Linked DNA regions of Rhinolophus ferrumequinum. The protein of the gene in region 2 binds, or shares a complex with, the protein of the main gene of each other region. Links are inferred from orthologs where the notes say so. Each region holds a gene or a part of one and is shown on either strand. Other genes may lie near its edges.

Evidence for each region. Proteins that work in one complex are often made in the same cells at the same time.
Region 1: the proteins of LCK (region 2) and CD4 are in contact, whole or in part, in an NMR structure (PDB 1Q68), measured with the Homo sapiens proteins. The link is inferred for Rhinolophus ferrumequinum from reciprocal best matches to the Homo sapiens genes LCK and CD4. Residues at the interface, in NP_001036236.1 of Homo sapiens: Glu15, Ile17, Val19, Cys20, Asn22, Cys23, Tyr25, Pro26, Ile27, Val28; in NP_000607.1 of Homo sapiens: Ala429, Arg431, Ile435, Leu438, Leu439, Lys443, Thr444, Cys445, Gln446, Cys447.

Annotation. Positions count from the first base shown.
Region 1 is NC_046293.1:23,978,148-23,988,958, forward strand, and holds the start of CD4 (T-cell surface glycoprotein CD4), read left to right. Parts: upstream 1-6,429; 5' UTR 6,430-6,711; intron 6,712-10,811. UniProt on the Homo sapiens protein: Integral membrane glycoprotein that plays an essential role in the immune response and serves multiple functions in responses against both external and internal offenses.
Region 2 is NC_046292.1:22,133,802-22,143,903, reverse strand, and holds the start of LCK (tyrosine-protein kinase Lck), read right to left. Parts: upstream 4,377-10,102; 5' UTR 4,251-4,376; intron 1-4,250. Other genes in the region: protein FAM167B, read right to left, coding at 6,412-6,642, 7,319-7,576; myotubularin-related protein 9-like, read left to right, coding at 9,774-9,958. UniProt on the Homo sapiens protein: Non-receptor tyrosine-protein kinase that plays an essential role in the selection and maturation of developing T-cells in the thymus and in the function of mature T-cells. Plays a key role in T-cell antigen receptor (TCR)-linked signal transduction pathways.

The DNA.
Region 1 (10,811 bases), on a different chromosome or scaffold from region 2:
ATTTTCTTGGGGAATACTGGGGGATAGTGTTTTTCCAGGACCCATCAGCTCCAAGTCAAGTCGTTGTTTTCAATCTAGTTGTGGAGAGCACAGCTCACTGGCCCATGTAGAAATTGAACTGGCAACCTTGGTGTTACGAGCACTGTGCTCTAACCAACTGAGCCAACCGGCTGCCCCACTTTTCACTTCCTCTTAAGGCCTTCCAGGGAGCTAGGTTAATTCATCAAGCATCTCCAAGTTTATCTGTGAACCAGTGTTCCAGGCTGGCGACCTGGAGGGGAAGAAACATCAAGGAGGCAGGGAGCTAGGTGGGGCCCATGGGGGATGGGGGAGGAATCATCTTAGGTCCCGGTTAAAAAGAAAGGGGTATATTGGTTTTCTATTGGTACATAACAAATCACTCCAAAACTCAGTAATTTAAAACAGTAAACATATTATTTCACATGGTCAGGAATCCAGGAGCAGCTGAGCTGAGTAGTTCTGAAGCAGGGTCTCTAGTGAGGTTGCTGCCAAGATGTGGGCCAGGGCTGAAGGCTTGGCTGGACTGAAGGATCTGCTTCCAAGAAGGATCCTTAGGTGGCTGCTGGCCAGAGATGTTAGTGAGTTCTGCCCCACCCCCACATAGGCCTCTTCTTAGGGTCACTCATGACATAGCAACTGGCTTCTCCTAGAAGGAGAGAATGGCCAAGACAAAAGCTACCATGCTTTCATAACCTAATCTGGAAAGTGACATACTGCCCCTTCTGCCCTATTCTATTGGTCACACAGACCAAGGCTGGTACACTGTGGGAGGGGAAAACATAAGGATGTGAAATGAAGGAGTCAGGAATCATTGGGGGCCATCTTGCATCATGGCTATCACAGTGGGAAACACTCACCATAAGAGAGACAGGCCATGAGAGAGGAAGAGGTATCTCTGAGTACCTCTACCCCCAGTCCTGCCATGGACCTGATAGCCTACTCTATTGTCCACTCTCCAGAAGTTCTGGATGCCAAATGAGGTCCAGAGCCTTGCCAAGTCAAGTGGGTCAGGCAAGAGGCCATGCTGTGCTCATTCAGACCTGTGGTCACATTTGCCAGTGTGTCCCCCCCACCCTTAACCTCGTCTTTTTATCTATATGGTGCAGGGGAGGCCCAAAAATTTCCGTGCCCCACCTCCCTCACCAGGCAGAGGTATTAGAGTTCAGACCTGGGCCCCTGTTGTAATTCCTCCCACAAAGGAGGTAAGCAAGGAGCTTAGGTGTCTTGCTTGGGCCCACCCCAAGATGGAGTTCGCCCTTTGAAAGGAATGCGGCTGGGGTGGGGATGAGGATGGGTTCTATCCGCTCAACTCTGTGGCTGACAGTTTCTCCAAAGGACTGCAGGTGCCAGCTGGCTGAACCCAGGCTGAGCTCTGAAATTTGCCTGCTCATAGCTCCCATGGAGTGCGGGAGGCCCAGGAACCACCCTCTGAGAGATGCAGAAAGTGGTTATGGAGCTAGGGAGAATGTGGCCAGGGTGGAAGTGGGTCAGCTCTCCAAGACTCTGCTTCTCAGAGAACAGCCTCTGTGGCCCCTCCCCACCTCCCAAATTTTCAAGCCCTTCCCCCAACCCCCTTGCAAAGGCTGTCAGTGCAGCTGTAGATGTTTCTGGTAAGGAGGCCACCACAGGACTGCACCTGGGGCTTCCAACTTCCCGTCCACAGGCTTCCACAGGTGGCCCTACCCCTTCCCCAATGGCAGGCCTCCAACACTCTGTCAGCCTTGATGCTGGCTTCCTTCTGCTTCCCCTTTCTTTCTCCCCACTTGACCTTCTCCTCTTCTTCCAGCCTGGAGACAGAATCCATGCAGCAAAAATATCTCTCAACCAGGAATCAGAAGACTTCTAGAAATCCCCATGCTTTATGCTTACAGTCATATCATGGGGCAGATTAACTTCAGTTTCTTCTTCTGTAAAATGAGGATAGTAATACTTGCCAAAAAGGTGTGGTATGTGCTAATGTATATGAAAGTGCTTTGAAAATGGAAAATCACTCTACACATATCAGGGATCATGGTGATGCTAAGCCTCAGATGCTCCAGATGAGGTTGTTGGCCTCCTACCTCTCCACTGTTATGGGAGAAAACATCTTAGTCATCATCCTAGCCTTTCTTTCTGTCTGTCTTTCTGTCTTTCTGTCTTTCTGTCTTTCTGTCTTTCTTTCTTTTTAAACTTTTATTTATTTATTTTTTGTGTCTTTCCAGGACCCATCAGCTCCAAGTAAAGTAGTTGTCCCAATCTAGTGGTGGAAGGCGCAGCTCACATTGGCCCATGCAGGGATCGAACAGGCAACCCTGGTGTTACGAGCATCGCACTCTAACCAACTAAGCTAACCAGCCTCCCATCCTAACCTTTCTTAATGCAGAGAAGAGGCAGTGGGGTGAGGGGGATAATCCAGGCATGGGGTCCAAGCAAAAGTTCAAATCCCAGTTCCATCAGTTATGGTTACTATTTCTGTGACATTCAGCAATTTTCTTAAACTCTTTGAGCCTCTGTTTCCTTATCTGTACGGTCTGGAGCATAACACCTGTACCCTATCATTGTGAGAATTAAATAAAATACGCAGCCATATGAAACAAACAGCAGTTCTAAATATTCAATATAAACTTGCCCTCTCTTCCTCTTTTCTTTTCACAAACTCTTTAGAAATCCCAGGGAGAGAACCAGGTTCTTGAAACCCGTTGACTCCTGGGAACCCATCTGCACAGGCATTCATAGGTCAGAGACCCAAGAGCTGAATGGTGTCACACAGTCTGTCTGGTCCATGAGGTGCAAATTGCTGGGCTTTAAGCTAGATACAGCCCTTGGAATGCTTTGTTTGGTTTACCCAGTATTAGAACAAAACAACAAAATTAATTGCCAACATTAAAATTAGGACATACTACATAAACGTCTGGTTTTCTATCTTCTCTCAAAATTTTGGCAGAACTGACAACTCTGGGCTCATATTCTGGTACAACCTCTGGTACAAAGCTGGAGCTGTGTGGTTAGTGGCTGCCCTCATGAAATGAGGCAGGTACTCTCTAGCTTATCTCAGTCCCCATTTCTCCCTATTGTTCACAACCAGTCTGTTTTGCTCATTTATATTACCTAGCAGGCTCCTGTAGGCATTTAAGTTTGTGATCCAATCCAGTCCCTCTCTATTCATTCATTCATTCATTCATTCATTCATTCATTCTTTCACTCATTCAAAAAGTATTCAACAGCCAGGGCTGGGGGCGGGAGGAGGTATGAGAAGTTAGTGTTTAACAGGTACAGAGTTTCAGCTGGAGAAGATGAAAAGTTTTGGAGCTGGATGGTGATGATGTTTGTACCATAACATGAATATACTTAATGCCATTGAACTGTGCACTTAAAAATGGTTATAGTGGTAAATTTTATGATGGTATGTATATTTTACCATAACAAACAATATCAATAAATATCGATAAAATTTAATATGTTTTTAAACAAAGATTTGACAAGTATTAAGGATCTACCAGGCCCAAGGCACCCTGCTGGGTGCTAAGTAAGGCAGACATGGTCACTACTCTAATCTGTGAGACAGACACTAAAAACTCAATAGTGCCATAGTTATTACACTTGGACTAGTGTTTCCAGGAGACAAACAGTGCAGGGTACTGGGAGATTTTACCATAAGGGACCCTGATACCAGCTGAGGAGCTCGAGTAGCCTTCTCAGACTATGAGGAAGGTTCATGGGTAGAGGATGGGGGAGCAACAAGATATAAACAGGACAAATCCAGCTTCTGGGGTGTGGTGTGGTGCCCCCTCACCTCCCTCACCTCTCAACCACCTGCCTCCAGACTTCTTTCAGTTGAGAAATCAACTCAAGTCTCATGCAATCCTCTATCATGTTGAATTTTCTTTCATTTGTAGCAATGCTTACTGATATACACTTCCCATGGAAGCCTTTCTCAGTTGAAATAAGGTTCCCTAGGATAACCTCTCTCAACACTCTGCTTCTCCCTTTGTAGCACTTGTCCAATCATAATGGAATTATTAAATGGTGAGTGTCTATATGTATGATATTTAATAAAATTAATATTTACAGCTTCATCAAGGACATTCTTAAGTAAAAGTGTCATGGACTAGAGCAGTTGACAATGTCTAGCTTACTTAACATCCCCAGCATCCAGCAGAGTACCTTGGGCCTGATAGACACTTAACACTTGTTGAATGTATGAGTGAATGGAGAGAACCAGAGTAGATAAGGGATTATAAATTCAAATGCTTATAGGAGCCTGCTAGGTAACGTAAATGAGAAAAGCAGGTGGCCTGTAAAAAATTGGGAGGGTGTTTGCATTCTAGTCTGCAAGAGGGAATTGAAGACCTGAGGAAGGACATACACCCTCCCATGAGGGAATTAGACCCTCCCTGTAAGGATGCTCCTTAGATGGTGCACCCAACATTTTCACTTACATCCATTAACCAAAATTGACTCAGTTAGCCACATCCAGCTGCAAGGGAGGCTGGGAAGTATAACTTAAATCTGGGTAGCCATGAGCTCTGCTAAAAATTAAGAGAATTACTAAGGAAGAAAAAGAAAATAAATTATGGGGACAACGAAAGTTCTGTACAGAGGGGTAGTTAAGTTCTGAAGAATGAATAAAGATTTTCTAGATTAGTAGTTCTCAAAGTGTGGCCCATGGGGGTCCCTGAGACCCTGTCAAGGGGTTTGGGAGGTCCAGCTATTTTTATAAAAATAATGGGATGTTATTTGCTTTTGTCACTATGTTGACATTGCAATAACATTGCAAAAGCAATCTGGGATAGACTGCTGTCTTAGCACAAATCAAGGCAGTGGCGCCAAACCATACTATTGTCATTTTATTCTTCACTGCCAGACACTTGCAGTAAAAAAAGGAAGGACAGAAAAAAACATGCCAGTTTTACTTAAGAATTTCCTTGATGAAGCAGTAAATATTAATTTTATTAAATTTCAACCCTTGAGTACATTGTGTTATGGAATGGGACATAACATTTCTCATTTGTTATGAAATGTTATGAAATGAGAGAAGCACTTCTGCCGCAAATGAAGCAAATGGTTGTTTCAAGTGGAAACACTTGTATTAATTGTTGGAGTTGCAAGATGAACTCGCCACTATTTTTCATAGTAGGGCAATGGCATGATGACATTTACACATTTAAATGATCACTCAGGCTACTGTGCAGAAGATGGCCTGGAGGAAGAAGAATGGAGAAGCCAGGAGACCAGTGAGGAGGTAGGAGCCATAGTCCAGGTAAAGGATGATGATGGCACCTTGGATGGGAATGGTGGCAGTGGGACAGTTGACTTAGATAGACTTCAGAACTATTTAGAAGGTGATAGACACCAGAATTGGTAAATAAATACATGGGAGATGCTGGGTTAAGAAGGAGTCAAAGATTATACCTAGTTTATTTGGCTTGAGCAGCTTGGATGGTGAAACCCTCACTGAGTGGGAGACTTGAAGGAAAAGTAAGATTGAAGATGTAAATAAACAAAATGGAACTGGAGCTGCTATACCAGAGGAACTTCCTTGCACATCTTATACCTCAGACCTGTGGAAGGTTAAAAACAGGGCAAAATAACCTTTGGACTAAGCCTGAGCAACATTTTTTTCCCAAAGAACTGTTTGCAAAGATAAGAAGAAAGCAGATATTATGACTACTGGACTGATGGCTAACGGACTGAAAATTAAAAGATGCTTTAGAATAAACATCCCTATGTTATGTTATCTGCACCAATAGAAATGCCTTCCTTCTGTTAATGTAATTGTTCTCCTTTCCCTTCTCATAAATACCCATTGCCTTTGTCTCCTAACTGGAACATTATTTGGGCTTCTGCCTGAATCATTGCTTCCCGAATAGCTATTCTTTTTATCTCAAATAAATGCTTGTTGCCTCTCACTTTGAAAGTCCTTTTATTTTTAGGTTAACAGAGGGGGGTAGTATGCAGATGATAACTTTAGTTTGGGGTGTGTTGAGTTTGCTATGTCTGGTGAACATCCAAGTGGAGATGTCCAGTGGGAAGATGGGTAGACATATCTGGAGCTCATGAGAGATCTGGGCTAGAGATAAAAATTTGAGGGTTGACCAGAGACGAAAGCCCTGAGGAAAAGAGTCTGGTCCCTTGTCATTCTGGGTGTCTCAGACATCCTCCTCTAGCCCAGATCCTTTCTGCCACACTGGGCCATCTACAATGCCTCTGGTGATGAACAAGTGCCCTTAGGGCCCAGGAGGAAGTAGCTCTTGAGGTCTTAACATAACTGCTCTCATATGCCCTCCACTTGCCTCCCACTTCTTGTTTCCCTGAAACCCTGGCCAGACTGCAGAATCACTGACACAATCTTTTTCTTGCCACGCAACAAAAAGTGCAGTGACACTTTTTCTTGCTACCCAATAAGAAGTGCAGTGATGCTCTGGGCTCCAGCCTGGTTCTGCTTAACTTTTTCCCTTGACTTTGACATTTTCACTTTGACATCTTCCCTGAGAGGCAAGGGGTGGGGACCCCAGCCCCAGATGGTGACGTTGGGGGCTGGCCCAGGCCTGGGGTTTGGAGGAGCCTCACTACCGGGCTTCCTGTCTCTGCAGGAGTAACAAGCGCTCTCCCCAGTGGGCTCCTGGTGCCAGAGCTCCCAGCCTTCACATAGGCACACCTGTGCGAGAAGCAGAAGCAGAAGTAGAGGGGACGATAGACACAGGCCCAGAGGTAAGATGGATAGACTCAGCTTCATTCTTTTCTGTGGGCCTGGGAAGGGGAGGAGAACGTGGCAGCAGGTGCATTGGAATGTGCTGGACTTCCTGCTCTTTGCCCACAACTCTGGTCACTTTCTCTTGCATTCCATGAGCAGCAATCTGCCACTGGAACTGTGAGCTTCAAGAGGCCGGGCCGATGCCAAGCGCCTCTCCACCTCCCTGCCGGCACAGCTCAGTGCCCAGAGCAGAAGATGCTCCTCGGAGGGGTGTTGACTCGGATTACAAGATCGCAGAAAAAATGGGGACTCAAGGCCACCCCAGGCTGAGAAAGGCAGTGGAAGGCAATTAATCATGAGGACTGGAGGAGATGAAGATAGGAAGAGAGGAAAAGAGGAAAAGAAGAGGAAAGAAGGAGTGGGAAAGAAATAGAAAGAATGACGAAACATTGAGGAGGGAGGAGGCCTATACAAAAAAAAGGGGAAAACAAAGGGAAAAGCAAGAAAAAGAGAAAAAGAAGTGGAATCTAGTCCAGAGATAATTCTCCCAAAATCAATTTTCCCAATGACACAGTCACCAAAAAGTCATACCAGAAATCATACTTGCAGCATTTCATAAGCCACATGATTGATGAAGCCTCTATTAACTGTCTTTTCTGTTTATGTGCATTTTTGTCTACTTCTGTGCATTTTTAGGATTTTTGAACAATATGTCTAAAGGCACTTCCCCTTTAATTAGCTTTAAAATGATTAATAAAATGAGAAAGCTAACATTCTCAAAAGGACTGAAACTGAGCTCTTATGTATGAAATGCTGTAAATGTGATAGATACGTATTTTTAGGTAAATACGTCAATGGAACAATTGGTTCTAAGAGAACTGGTTTTAGGTGTCTTAGCTGCTCTGGAAAAAGAGATTAGGGAGATAGAAAAGGATTTGCAGACCTCCTCCCTACCCTGGGCTTGGTCAGGCGTGGTGGGGGCAACTTAGGAGGTGATACCTCTCAAGATGGGACAGCCTGTACAACTCCACAGCCTTCGTCCTTAGCTCTCTAAGACCTCCATGGCCTTGCAGCCCTGTTCCCCAGGCATCTTCTGTCTTCCCTTTGTAGATGTATTCTGGGAGAGAGGTCTCCTCTGGTACAGTGAGATGTCTCAAAATAGAAAGGCCCCATTCTCCCTAATTCAAAGAATTTGTTCTGGCTGGAATTTCTCCTCCTGAATGTCCTACTCTTGTGGGGCAAATTTTTAGAGGTGCGGGGCTGAGAGTAGAAGTTGATAGGGGAGATCACTGCTGTTTCGTGTTTTGACAAATAATTTCTCGGGCTGTGTTAGATTCTGTAGGTTCATACAAAATGGCCGCCCTCTTAACCTCAAATAAGAGAGTTCCCAGAGAATAGGGTCATAGATAACTCACCAGATGATTTCCCTCTCTCAGTTTGGGGGCACTTATATAGAAGAGGTCTACCTCAAAATAAAAACTCCCCTCACTAACCGGTTCTAGGCAGAAAAAGCCTCTCAGTGCCTTAGGCCCTGATCCTGGCCATAGTGGTAAGGTGGCAGTGAGGGAGTTGGGTAGACCAAGGGCCTTGCACATTTTAGACACTCAATAAATGTTTAACAAAGTAAGTTTTATGAATGAAAGTGGGTGCTGGGAGGGGGCAGATGGGGGCCTGGGTTTGTAAGGCTCGAAGGTTGAAGTCTGTTCTGCACCTTTCGGGGGATGAGGGAAGAGGGAGGGCACAGCTCCCCCAGCGTGGGCGTCTGAGGCAAAGGAGAGGATGGTGGAGGTTGCAGCCACTGAACCACAAGGGTCCCTTACAGAGGTCATGGTCTCTAGGAAGTTTATATGAAGCCAGTAAGCAGCAGAGAGAGTGTGTGTTGTGGGGGCACATCCCATGACAGGGCTTGAGGGGGCTGACTGGGGGCCATGGGGAGAAGATAAAAGTGCCTGTGGGACCACAGACTGTCGCTGTGGTGGGGCTGTGCCCTCTTCCTCTCCCTAGTCTCACTCCTCATCCCATCTCGGGGGGCCAGGGTGAGGGCAGCAAGGACTTCGGCGGCTCTGAGTATGCGGGTGTGTGTTGCCATTTTGGTCTCATCGCTCTCTTGGTCTCTGTCTCTCTTTTGGTCTACTGCGCTGTGCATGTAGCTTACGTCTCAGAATTTCCTCCTCACTTTTCCTCTTCCTCTGTCTTGTTTGTACTCCCCTGGGCTTTGTGTGTGATCGTGGATTGTGTGGAGTGTAACTGTTACTTTAATGAGCTGCTCTGGGTCTCTCCCTACCTTCTGCGTTCCCTCCCAGCCTCCCATTATCAGTCCTTGGGGCCTCTGTTTCTCAGAATCTGTCCTTTTCCCTTTGTCCACCCTGCAGCCATCTCCCTTGTATCCATCCCTCGGCTCCAGACTGTGCTCTGCAGGCTCCCTTTAGATCAAAGCTTGTTGAAAGCCTGCATTCCTGCCAGAGGCCTGGATGCCTGTTAACAGGCAAGAAAAGGAACTAGAGCTTGGTGGCAGCTGGAGAAGGGAGAGATGAAAGAGGAAAAGAGGCAAAGGGCATTCCAAGAGAAACCAGAAGAGCCAGAATTGCCTCCTGGTGTATGACGCACAGAGGAGGAGAGACAAATGCAGGGAGTTGAAGACAGAGGCATCAGCTTGGGGAGGCATAGATGTATAAATGCACAGATATGAGCAGAAAAACAAGGCAGGGAGGGAGACAAGGGGGGAGGGAGGGAGGGAGAGAGAGAGAGAGAGAGAGTTGCCAGGACACCTCGGGGACCAGCGAGCCCTCCAAGGCTCTCTCTGGGCTGTGGTGTACAGGATGCGACTGCTACGGTACTGCTGCAGAGTGTCTCTGGGGAGGCTGAGGGTGTGGGAATCAAAGGCCAGCTCTCTAGGGTGGCAGCGGAAACCCGTAGCACCAAAGCAAGCAGCAGCTGGAAACCCATAGCCTCTTTCACCTAGCTGAGCCCTTGGGGTGGGTTGAGGCAGCGCAGGGAGCTGGAAGGTGGCCCTCTGCACAGACCTCAGGATCATGGAGTGGGGAAGGAAAAATGAGCACATCTGGGGAAGGTCAGGAATGTCCCAGCCTTCCTCAAACATCTAAGCTGAATTTGGACCCCAGGGAAGAGGTATCCCCTAGGAGACACCTTAACTTTCTGCTCACCAAAGACACAGTGAGTCTGGGATGCGGGGACAGTGGGAACCACTCTCAGATAATAGGGGTGCCCTACCCCATTTTCTCACCCCAGCCTTTCCCTCAATACCTCTGTGCTCCAAGTTAACTTGTAAACAACTGCACCCATGAGCAGCCTCCCTGCTTTCCTGGAACCCTTCTTCCTGACATGTTTTCTTCCTGTTTACCTGCTTAAACAATTCTATCAAGCCTGTACCATGTGCTAGGCCCTGGGTCATTACTCTTTTGGACAGATGGAGTGACTGGAGGGGACTTTTAAAAAAAATTTTCCCCCAAACCTCTTCGGAGAACCAAGCCCCCAGCACCCATCTGAATGCTACATCTGATCATGGACCAGTGCCCAACAGGAAACAGTCTGCCTCAGATGGTTCAAGAGACTGCAGAGAGGGGGTTTTTCACAGAGAAAGGTATAGACAGGGAACGAACCAGCACATTGCAGCAGACTAACACTAGCAACAGCAGGCAGGGTCCTGAAGAAACAAAGGCCAAAATGGTATTTCTGGAACTCAGTGAGAATTTGAGCTGTGGATAAGGGGCTACCAGAAAAGAGCTGTAATCAGCAGGGAGAGGAAGGGGGAACAGAGGGAATACAGCCATTTGCAGAAAATACTTCCAGAGCAGGAAGAGGGTAAGGAAAAATACCCCAGCCTCTCTCCCTGATTCTCTGATATCTTGTGGGTGCTCCCCATTGGCCAACACCAATTAGTAGCTGGAGGGCAAAGGAGCCTGAGCTATGCAGCCTGTAAGAGTCATCTTCCTTGTAGAGGGCAGGGCTGAGAGGATGGCCCATGGCGGGGTGGGGATTGGAGTGGGGGGTGCACACACAGGTAAATGACCCATTTTAGTAACAGAATTAACATGTCGAGTACGGAAAGAAGTCAGTGATTTCTTCTCCTCCATTCAATTCAATTTGGTTTAAGTTT
Region 2 (10,102 bases):
CCCCTCGACCCCTCAACCACAAGGTTGCCAGTTCGACTCCTCAACCCCCGCAAGGGATGGTGGGCTGTGCCCCCTGCAACTAACAACAACTGGACCTGGAACTGAGCTGCGCCCTCTACAACTACGATTGAAAGTTCAACAATTTGACTTGGAAAAAGTCCTGGAAGTACACAGTGTTTCCCAATAAAGTCCTGTTCCCCTTCCCCAATAAAATTTTTTAAATAAATAAATAAACACATAATATGATACAAAAATTCACATTTGTAAACGTCCATTCATTACCCCCTAAAATCACTCACCCTCATCAATGATACACAGGCCATATTTGGGGAAATGCTGTACTGTGAGACAGAACTTTGGGCTTAGGCCTCTGTTGGTGAGCTAGAAGAAGCACAATTTTCTTAATTGGCCAGTCTATTGATGAAAATGTAATGGGTACCTCTTATGTGGCAAGCCCTGATCTAACGCTGGGGACACAGAAGATTCCCGTCCACTTCATCCTGCCCTCTGACAGAGGTGGGTGCCGCTCTGGCGGAGCACTCTTTTACAGGAAGCCATAATGCTTGTCTTTACTTTAGCTCACTGATCAGTAATGTCTGACTCCAACACTAACACTAACAACACAAAACAGCAATACTTGCCAGGAAGTAGCGTCTCAAAATCACCACCATTACTCACTTACCAAGTTAACGAAGTCTAGTTAAAACTGTTAAAAATATGGGGTAGATCTCCATGTATTGACATGGAAAAATGTCACAGACATAACAGGGTAAGAAGTTACAAAACAGAATGTAGAATATAAGCCTATTTGCATTTCAATATGTATATATAGGGGATTCTTTTAAGCCGGGCTCTGTGCAAAGCCTTTATTTGCATAGTTTCATGTAATTCTCATAATAATTCTATGAAGTAAGTGCTATTATTATCCCCATTTTGCAGAGGCAAAAACTGAGGCTCAAACGGGGTAAAGCGATTTGTCTGAGGCCTCATAACAAACAAATAAGTGGTGGAGTGGCAATTTGAGCCTTGTTCTGCCTGTCTCCAGAGACTAGGTTCTTAACCGCTAGGCTTTTCAGTAGCCATACATAAGAAATTCTGGAAGGACGCTCACCAAATTGTTCATAGTGAGCATATCCCAGAAGTAAGATTGGAGGGAGCTGCATTTCTTGTATTTCTTTATATGCCTCTATACTGTTTGAAGTTTTAAAAACAACTGTGTGCTAATTTTGTACTTGAAAAGCAAAAAACAATAAAACCACCACCAATGCAAACACTGCCAGAAGAGGATCATTTGAGGAGGATCAATAGCCTGCCCTTCCATTCCTCTCCTTGTCTCAAGAACTGTAACCATGGAAGAGGTACTACTGGAAAAAGGTTCTGCGACCAAGGAAGTTTGGGAAACATTGGGTTAGATAAAATCAATCTGGCTCCTTCTGAAGGGACTTTCAGAGCTTTCACAAGCTTGACTGTGAAGTTAATACAAGACAGTTTGTAGCTGAGGCCATGTTGATTTGGCCCGAGAACCTTTTCTTTCCAGGCACCTCTGGAAATAACATTCTTTAGAGCAAGCATTGGAAATGCAACTCCAGATGCTTTAAAACCAACACTGAACTTGGTTGTTAGAGAAGGCCACATCCCTGGATATTGTTGTGGTCCTACGTGTCCCCATGCCCCCCATACACTCAGCTTCTCTGAGCATTGCTTTCACTGAATGAAGCTTGGCCTTGAAGCCATCAGCTTGTGGGTGTGTGTATGGATTTGTGGGGTCCAGTGTGTGTTGTATGTGTAGACCCTGCCTCTGCCTCTGAACATACATGCAAACACACACAGACACACACACACACACACACACACACACATTTTCCACTGACAATATGTATGGTGTTTGGGATAGGGTGTGTATGTGTGCGTGTGTATACCCTGCTTCCCCAAAAATAAGACCTAGCCGGACCATCAGCTCTAATGCGTCTCTTGGAGCAAAAATTAATATAAGACCTGGTATTATATATTATACTATATTACATTATATTATATTATATTATATTATATTATATTATACTATACTATAAAGACCCGCTCTTATTTTACTATAAGTATAGTAAAATATAAATATAGTAAAATAAGACCGAGTCTTATATTAATTTTTGCTCCAAAAGATGCATTAGAGCTGATTGCCCAGCTGGGTCGGTCTTATTTTCGGGGAAACATGGTAACTGTGTGTGGGACCCTCCTTTAAGGTAGATCTGTGGCCCGGTCTAGAATTCTCACACCCATTATACACAGGAAACAAGCTAATTTGCAAAGCCACAGCACAAGTGTGAGGGAATGGGTGGTTCACTGGCCTCCCAAAGCGCTGAGTAGGAGTAATTCTGGGTGTGGACAGTCCTCCGTTTGGTAAACTACTTGCAGGAGGAGAGAGTGTCAAACCTCTGTCAAGCAACTACTATGTGTCAGAAAGATTCCTGGGTCCCCTGACTTAAGCCTGTTCATCACCCTGCTCCATGGGGGTCACAGCCTAGACCATTACAGGGCACATCACAGTCATTATTATCTCTTTGATTACCCACAAGCACTCTGTAAGAGAGAAATTCATTATTGCTTCTATACAGATAAGTAAACTGGAGTTCGGGGAGGTGAAGCCACTCGTTCAAGGAAATAGCAGAACTGGAATAGTACCTTAGCCTGCCCGACTCTGAAACGCATGCTCTTTGCATTGACTCTTGCATTTGATCTTGCTTGCAGGTCTCTGACCTCATGGTACCCAAAGAACAGAACCCAGGGACAGTGACCTTGGCTTCATGTCCTGGGAACTTTCCAAAATGGACCTTTGTCCTTCTCAGAACTGCGCTGACTCTTCCAGGAAGCCTTCCAGGTAACCTAAGGGATGGCTTCTCCCAACCTCTAATGCTCAGCCTGTCTTCGTGCCCATCACTTGGCCCTTTTACCCTTTGAGAAGAACCACTCTCCCTGAGCCCCAAGGATGAGGAGCCCTGAGTCATCTACAAGCATAGGCTGGATGGGGGTAGGGGGCCTGCTCATGCCTGTTCAGGGTGTGGATGAGCCCCCCTGAAGTGCAGGAAGAGCCAGCGTGTTCCTCAGCCCCCACAAAAGTCTGCAGGCCTTGGAGCTGGGGACAGGAGAAGGCTGGGACGTGCTGACTAGGTGGAAATTGTGTGTCAAGAAAAACTCCAATGGCAGGGGAAACCTGGAAAGTCTGGTGCAGGTGGGGACTCTCCCCATAAACTGAAGGCTGAGAGTTGCACAGTGAGGGGGTGGGCAGGTAGCTGACTATGCTTTCCTGGGGTTTGAAGCAGGAATAATCCGCAGGACCAACTGGCCCTACACATGTAGGAGCTGTGTGTGTGGCTGCAGCAGGAGTGAGCGAGGGGAGAGGGGAGGACATCCTGCGACACTTGGCAGGGGTAGGGATGGCAGCTTTCCAGATGGGAGCTCAGACGGTCCTCGCCCAGGGCCAACTGCATCCCTGTCCTGGATAAAAATAGCCCTTCCTCTCACCTTCTCCCCTCATTCTCTCCCCTCCGACTTCCCAGCTTCCGGTCAGATACTTCCGCCCTGGAGGCCCCATTCCAGATGATAAATGTGCCCTCGCATTTCCATCTGCTCCAAACGGGAGACACCTCCCTCTCCCAAGCAGTGCTGGTCACTGAGGCTAAAATCACTTCACACGTGTCCATTTGGATGGTCTGGGTGACTCTGATCTCTTTCAGGAGATTTTTGTCCCTGGGCTCTGACCCAGCAACCAGAAGGATTCCTGGATCCCCTGACTCAAGCCTTTTCCTCTCCCTGCTCCATGGTGGAGTGGGGGTCATAGCCTACACCATCACCCTTTCCCAGGGCTCTGCCACTGCCTTGCTGAGGGACAGCAGGGAGGGAGTGCCTTTGCCCTCTCTGGGACTCAGGAGGCTCATCCACCATGGGATGAGGGACTGGACTTGGGGATTTCTGAAGGCTTTGTCAATACCCGACAGGCCATGTGCCAGATATCCCAGTGAGGTGGAGGTGGATGGCCGGCCCTGTGGCAGAACCAAGAGCCAACAGCTACAGAGGAAAGAATTGATCTGGCTGCACTGCATGCCTCCTACCTGACCTCCAGCAAGTTTCTTCTGTGCCCCCAACCCCAAGACTGAAGGGCTGCTGCATACCCAAGGAGCCTGGCCCCGTGCCCAGCTGCAGCCCCCTGCCATCAGGCCCCCACCAGCCCCATGGACCTCTGTCCCGGTACTCCTTACCTGCCCAGCCCAGGAGCCCTCTGGCCCCATTCACATGGTCCTCCTGGCCCAGCCTGGCTGCCCAGACAGAGTTTCAGCTCCCCTCACCGTCGTAGCCACCACCTGACTCCTCGCGCCCACGTCCCACCCTGACTTCCTGCCTCCTCCTGAGGGCTCCGCAGTCAACCGGGCCCCAGCAGCCCAACCACAAGCCTCTAGCACCCCAAGCTTCCTGCCACCATAGCCCCCCAACCCTCAGTCTCTGGGGGTCCTGTACGTCTCCAGGCCAGGCCCTGCTCACCCTGAGGGTGGTACTTGGAGGTGAAGGGAGGATATTTGATGGAACCTCCCTCCTGCCCTCCAGGATACACCTGGACAAAAGATTCAAGGGCAGCCTTTAAACCCCAATGAGCAAGGGCACGCAGACACACCCTCAGCTGTCAGTGAAAGGCAAGAAGCACTGTTGTCACAGTCTGCGAGCTGAAGGACCCTTTCATTACAGTCTGAGGGCAAAGGTAACATCATTTCAGGGGCAAAGGGGAGGACAATACCTCTGTTAAGTAGTTGGAGAGCAGAACACCCACGTTTCAAACATCAAGCTAACATGGCTGCTATAGTCGGAATAATAGCCATGTCATCTCAGGGCACAGGACAACAGCTTTATTATTGTCAGAGGGTAGGCTAACACTCCTGTTATAGACAGAATGCAGGACAACAAGCTGTTTAAGGAAGAAGGCAGGATAACGCTGTGTCTTTAAGAGGACAGGACGACACCCACTAATGATGGTTGGAGAGTTGGGGAACAATTCTAATTCAGGTAGTGGCAAGGCCACCAACCCTATTAGAGGTGCAGAGCCTGGCACCACCTCCCGCAACAGGTGGAAGCTAGAACAAACACTCCTTCTCAAGCACCCAGATGCAAGCAGCAGACTGGCAGCATTTTCTGTTACAGGCAGGAACCTTGTCACAGCAGCAAGCAGGCCAAGAATCTCCCTTTACCCGGAGGCCACACTGAGGGTGGCACCCATCATAGTCTGAGGGCCAGGTCATCAGTGTTATGAGGAGCTCCAGGTGGCCTTTATCAGGCCCAAGAGCTGGGCCTTGACCCCACCCAGAGGAAAGTATAAACACGTCACCACTGCCTGAGCCTACACTGAGTGAGCAGTTTGGGGGAAGGGAGCCCACAGAGCATTGTTGGGGTTTGTGAGGTGGAAGCTGATGCTGTGTGCACCTCAGCTGCAGAGGGAAGGGGGAGACAGGAAGTGGGTGGGGGGAAGAGGAAGCCTGAGTTGGAAAGTCAGACAAAGAGGGTAACACAGAAACAAAGACTGAGAGATACAAAGTGAAAAAAAACACAAAACCCAACTACAGTGACACAGAGCCCATAGTCTGGGCTGCAGGCGTCAGCAACCCTAGCTATGAACCTGAGCATGGCACAGGCCATCTCTGGGTTCAGCACAATAGTAATAACACCACTGCTGATAGTAAGGATAAGCAACAGATAGTTCACATTTACTGAGTGCTTACTGTGCATTCTCCCACTTACGAAACATCCACCTACTTGGGGAGTGAGAATTAGCACTGCCATTTTAGAGGTAAAGGAAATGATTCAGGAATTAAGGGACCTTCTCAAATCTGATAGAAACAAATGGGGGAGCTGCCTTTGAGTCCAGTTCTACCGGATTCTGCATTCTTCAGCTGCCCACGTACCCAAGTCACCTTCCATGGACGTGATTTAGGATTTTAAGTTTTTCCCCAGTTCTGATCTTGATAAGATAGAGCCATAGAGCTGGAGCTGTGGGGGAAATGAGGATCCATCAGTTCATTTCCACCCCAACCCAGGTCTTCTCTCTTGCAACGGAATCCCTGGTCCCAGCAACAGATAACACTTGACGACCTTGAACCTGAATAATGGCTGCGGAGACCTTGATGGGAAGCAGAGAGGGCATTTATTGAGGAGCCTGGTGGGTGTCTGTGAGCTCCTCCCCTAACACACACACACACACACACACACACACAACTGGGGCAGCAGCAGGGACAGGATGCTCTCAGAGCCCAGTGTGTACCCATCAACCCTCCTCCCTCACCAGGTGCTGGCGCCTCTGGGGCACCCCTTGCTTCCCCCTTTCCAGGTGGGCTGAGGAAGAGGTAGTGGGTGGCCCAGGAGGCATACAGGCACCCCTCAGCAGAGGGTGAAGCGCCGAGCACTGAGGTTCATGCGTGTGAGGCCGAGGTGCCGCAGCGGTGGGGGCAGGGCCAGGCCGGCCCCTGGCTCCAGCTCCAGCTCCAGCTGGGCCTCATCCAGCAGCTCTTGGTGCAGGTGACAGGCTTGGTCCACCTTCAGCCGGTGCAGCTGGGCCCGCAGGTGAAGCAGTTGCCCGGCCAGCTGCTGGTCCTGAGCCTGCATCTCCTGCTGTGGCAGAGAGGGGGCCTTTAGCCTGCTGCACCAGCGCTCAGCTGCTAGCCCTGTTCTTCCCTTCCTGTCAACACCCTGGGGCCTTGCACTGGATGTGTCCTCCACACCCCCTCTCACCCCAGCTTGATCCTCCCCTCTCTCTGCTCTTGCTCCATACCGATGGTTCTAAAACTAAGACAAGGAGCCATTGTTAAACACGTTCCTGGGGCCCCATCCCAGATAACTAAGTGGAATCTCCAATATGGAGCCTGGACATCTTTATATTTGTACATGTTAGGGTAAAAACCACCTATTTCATCTTTGCCTCCTCAGATTCTGTCTACAGCATGGTACTGACCATGCTCATTTTGTACTGACCTCATTTTGTACTTCACAGTGTCTTTGGGATATAGCAAATTCCCAGAGTAGGGGAGGCCATGCCTTTCCCATCTATACTGTCTCCTGAGCCAAAGAAGCACAAGGTCAGCAGACTGAATGGAATCCTTCAGCAAGGCTCCTGAATAAAACACTGAACAAATCCATTCCTGCTCCTCAGCCCCCAGACACAGCCATAGGAGTGGGCAGTTGCTGGAGGTGGGGTCCATTCTCATCTTTGCCCCTCACCTGTGGTCTTGGGCCCTTAGAAGTGCTATCCCAAGGCCCTCTGCAAGGCTGCCCACCCCACCAGACTCACCAGCTCTCGTCGGAGCCACTCAAGGGCAGAATCCACTGAGTCAAAGCCGCAGATGGCCCCAGGTCCCCCCAGCCCAGATCTGGCTTGGGCCCTCCGCCAGGCCTGGCTCTGGACCCGGGCTGTCCACTCCAGATATGAGGGCCGCCGTGTCTGCAGCTGCAGCTTAGCCGTCAGCGCCTTCACAGAGTCTAGGCTCTCTTCCTCCTCATCCTCCTTTTCTTCACCCACTGCCTGGAATTTCAGTGGCCCCAAGGACATGGTGGGTTTGGGGTAAGTGACAAAAGGCTACAGCTCTGGAATTAGGGAAAGCCTGGCAATATTGTTCAGGGAGAAGTGGCAAAAGCTGAAAGAAGTGTGCCAGGGAGTGTGTGTGTGTGATAGTGAATGCTCAAGGTGGCTGGAAGAGGCTGAGTGTATCAGGGTGGGTGAGTAGATGGGTATGGGAGGCCGAGTGTGCAAGGGCTGGGATTTTCCTGGACTGTAACCCTGGAGCCACGTGATGCCCATCTGGGTGGTGACAGGAGGAGCCCTGATCCTCTAGCCCCTTGGATGAATTTTATTGTCTTTGCCCAGAAGGAGACACCCAGTTCCCAGAAAGGAAGTTGCTGCAGGATAAGAAAAGCATCATCCACACCAGAGTCTTGGCCCTTTTCCCAACACCCAAGTAAGGGAGTGGGGGAGGGGATAGAAGGCTGACAAGCTGGCCCCATCGTCACTCATGGCATTGGTCCTTCAGCAAAGGAATAGTGGCCAGAGTCCTGGCCTGGGAGTCGGGAGACTTGGGTTCTGGTGCTGGATGTGGGGTCTCGACAAGTCACTGACTCTCTGTTGGGGCAGATCAAAGATTTCAAACTGTACTCTAAGGAACTTCAGGTTCCCTTGGAAATCCCTCAGAGACAGTGCCGGGTGAGGACAGAGCTGTGGATGGGCTCTTAGACCTGCCTCTCCTGGAGGGCCTCTCCCAGGGCTTTAACCAGAGCAGTTCCCTTTTGTAAACTTTGTACTGAAAAATAACATACACACAGAAAAATTCACCTATCATAAGTACACGGCTTGATGAATTCTCCCAAACTGAACACACATATGTAACCAGCACCCAGGTCAAGCAGCAGAGTTCTGTTTTACTAGCATCCAGGCTGGTACAGCCTTTGTGCTCCTGGCCTGTCACTTCTCTCCGAAGAGTAATACTACTCTAATTTCCAACAGCATAGATTAGTTTAGCCTTTAAAAAAAAAAACAAAAACACCTTTCTAGTGGTTATCAATCTGTAGCATGCATTGGAATCACCTAGAACACTTCTTTAAAAATACTGTCAGCCCCACTCCCAGAGTTTCTTATTTAGTATATGTGGGGTCAGGGGTGGGCCTCATAATTTGCACTTCTAACCAATTCCCATCCCGGCTGGTGCTGCTGGTCTGGAATTTTACAGTTTGTACTCTATTATCTGGTTCCTTTCATAGAGTAGTTCCAATTTTATGTTTATATTATGAGGGTCCATGTATGATTTTTTTTTTTTGAAAGAAGGGTTTTGCATGCCTCCTTCCCCGCTCCCCAACACACACAAGAGCTTGGAACCTAGTGGACCAGAAGGCCCTTTGAAGGCAGGAGTGGGTCTTCTTCCTCTTATGGTAATCAGCACTTAACACAGCTGTAGACATCAGTGTTTAAGAAATGAAAGAATTAGATGGATGAGTCCTCCAGTAAATCGGTTTAATCTCGTGTAATTTACCAGAACTGAAAACCTTATGAACAGAACCCTCCTCAGTCACCTTTGGGTTCCAACACCAAATATGGAACCCAGCTCAGTGTACCTGCAATTCATATGTGTTCAAAGGATGAAGTGATAGAGCATGGGGCTCCAGAAGGCAGGACTAAATCAGAAGTGGCCCCTATAGAGGGCGCCCTCAGGCAGAGACTTCCAGCTGTGGTAGGGGGAAGGAGCCGACTACACAGCTGCTTGCATTTAAGGTGGACCAAGGGATTTTCCCCCACCAGCCTCAGATATAGGGAGGAAGTAGGCAGTTACGTTTCACGCCCACACTTTCCACCCCTTCCACCAGGTCTAGGAGAAAAGATGGCATTTTTCTCTCCTTTTTAAATCAGCTGGAGTGTCAACATCCCAGTGTAAAAAATAAAAAAAATATTGAGTGCTTCCTGCAAATCAGGCGAGGTCAAGGGCTTAAGCAAGATTATTCTCCCCATTTCACAGATGACAAAATTGAGGTTTCCTTAACAGGCTCTGACTGGCGTCCACGCTAAGAGGTGCTGGCAATAAGAAGGGGAAATTCCTGTGATACTGTTCAATCTCTTCCTTCAAGGGGCCTCCTTAACAGCTGTCTTGCCGGCGTCGCCAGCTGCCCAGCCAGTTCCTGTCCATTTCAGAGCCCGCGCTCTTTCAGCCTGACACTACAGGAGTCTGTCTTTTTGCTGGGCCCCAGGCCCACCATAGGCGGGAATGGAGTTCTCGGAGCTGATCCGTACGGGCCGGGCCCAAGCAGAGCTCCTGCGGGGCCCTGAGGCGCCCCCGCTGCGCGGCACGCTGTGTGTCACCGGCCATCACCTGCTGCTGTCTCCAGGGCCCCAGGCGACTCCAGACCTGTGGCTGCTGCTTTTGCGTAGTGTCGACTCCATCGAGAAGCGGTAAGCGTAGTGGGGACATCCCGGGAATGAGGACCTCGCAGCTCCGCGGGTAGAGCGGAAAGGGCAAGCGCTGTTGGAGCTGGTGTCCCCCCGCGTAACGTCCAATCCTGGTTTCTCCTGCCCTGCTGTCGGGAGGAGGGGGTC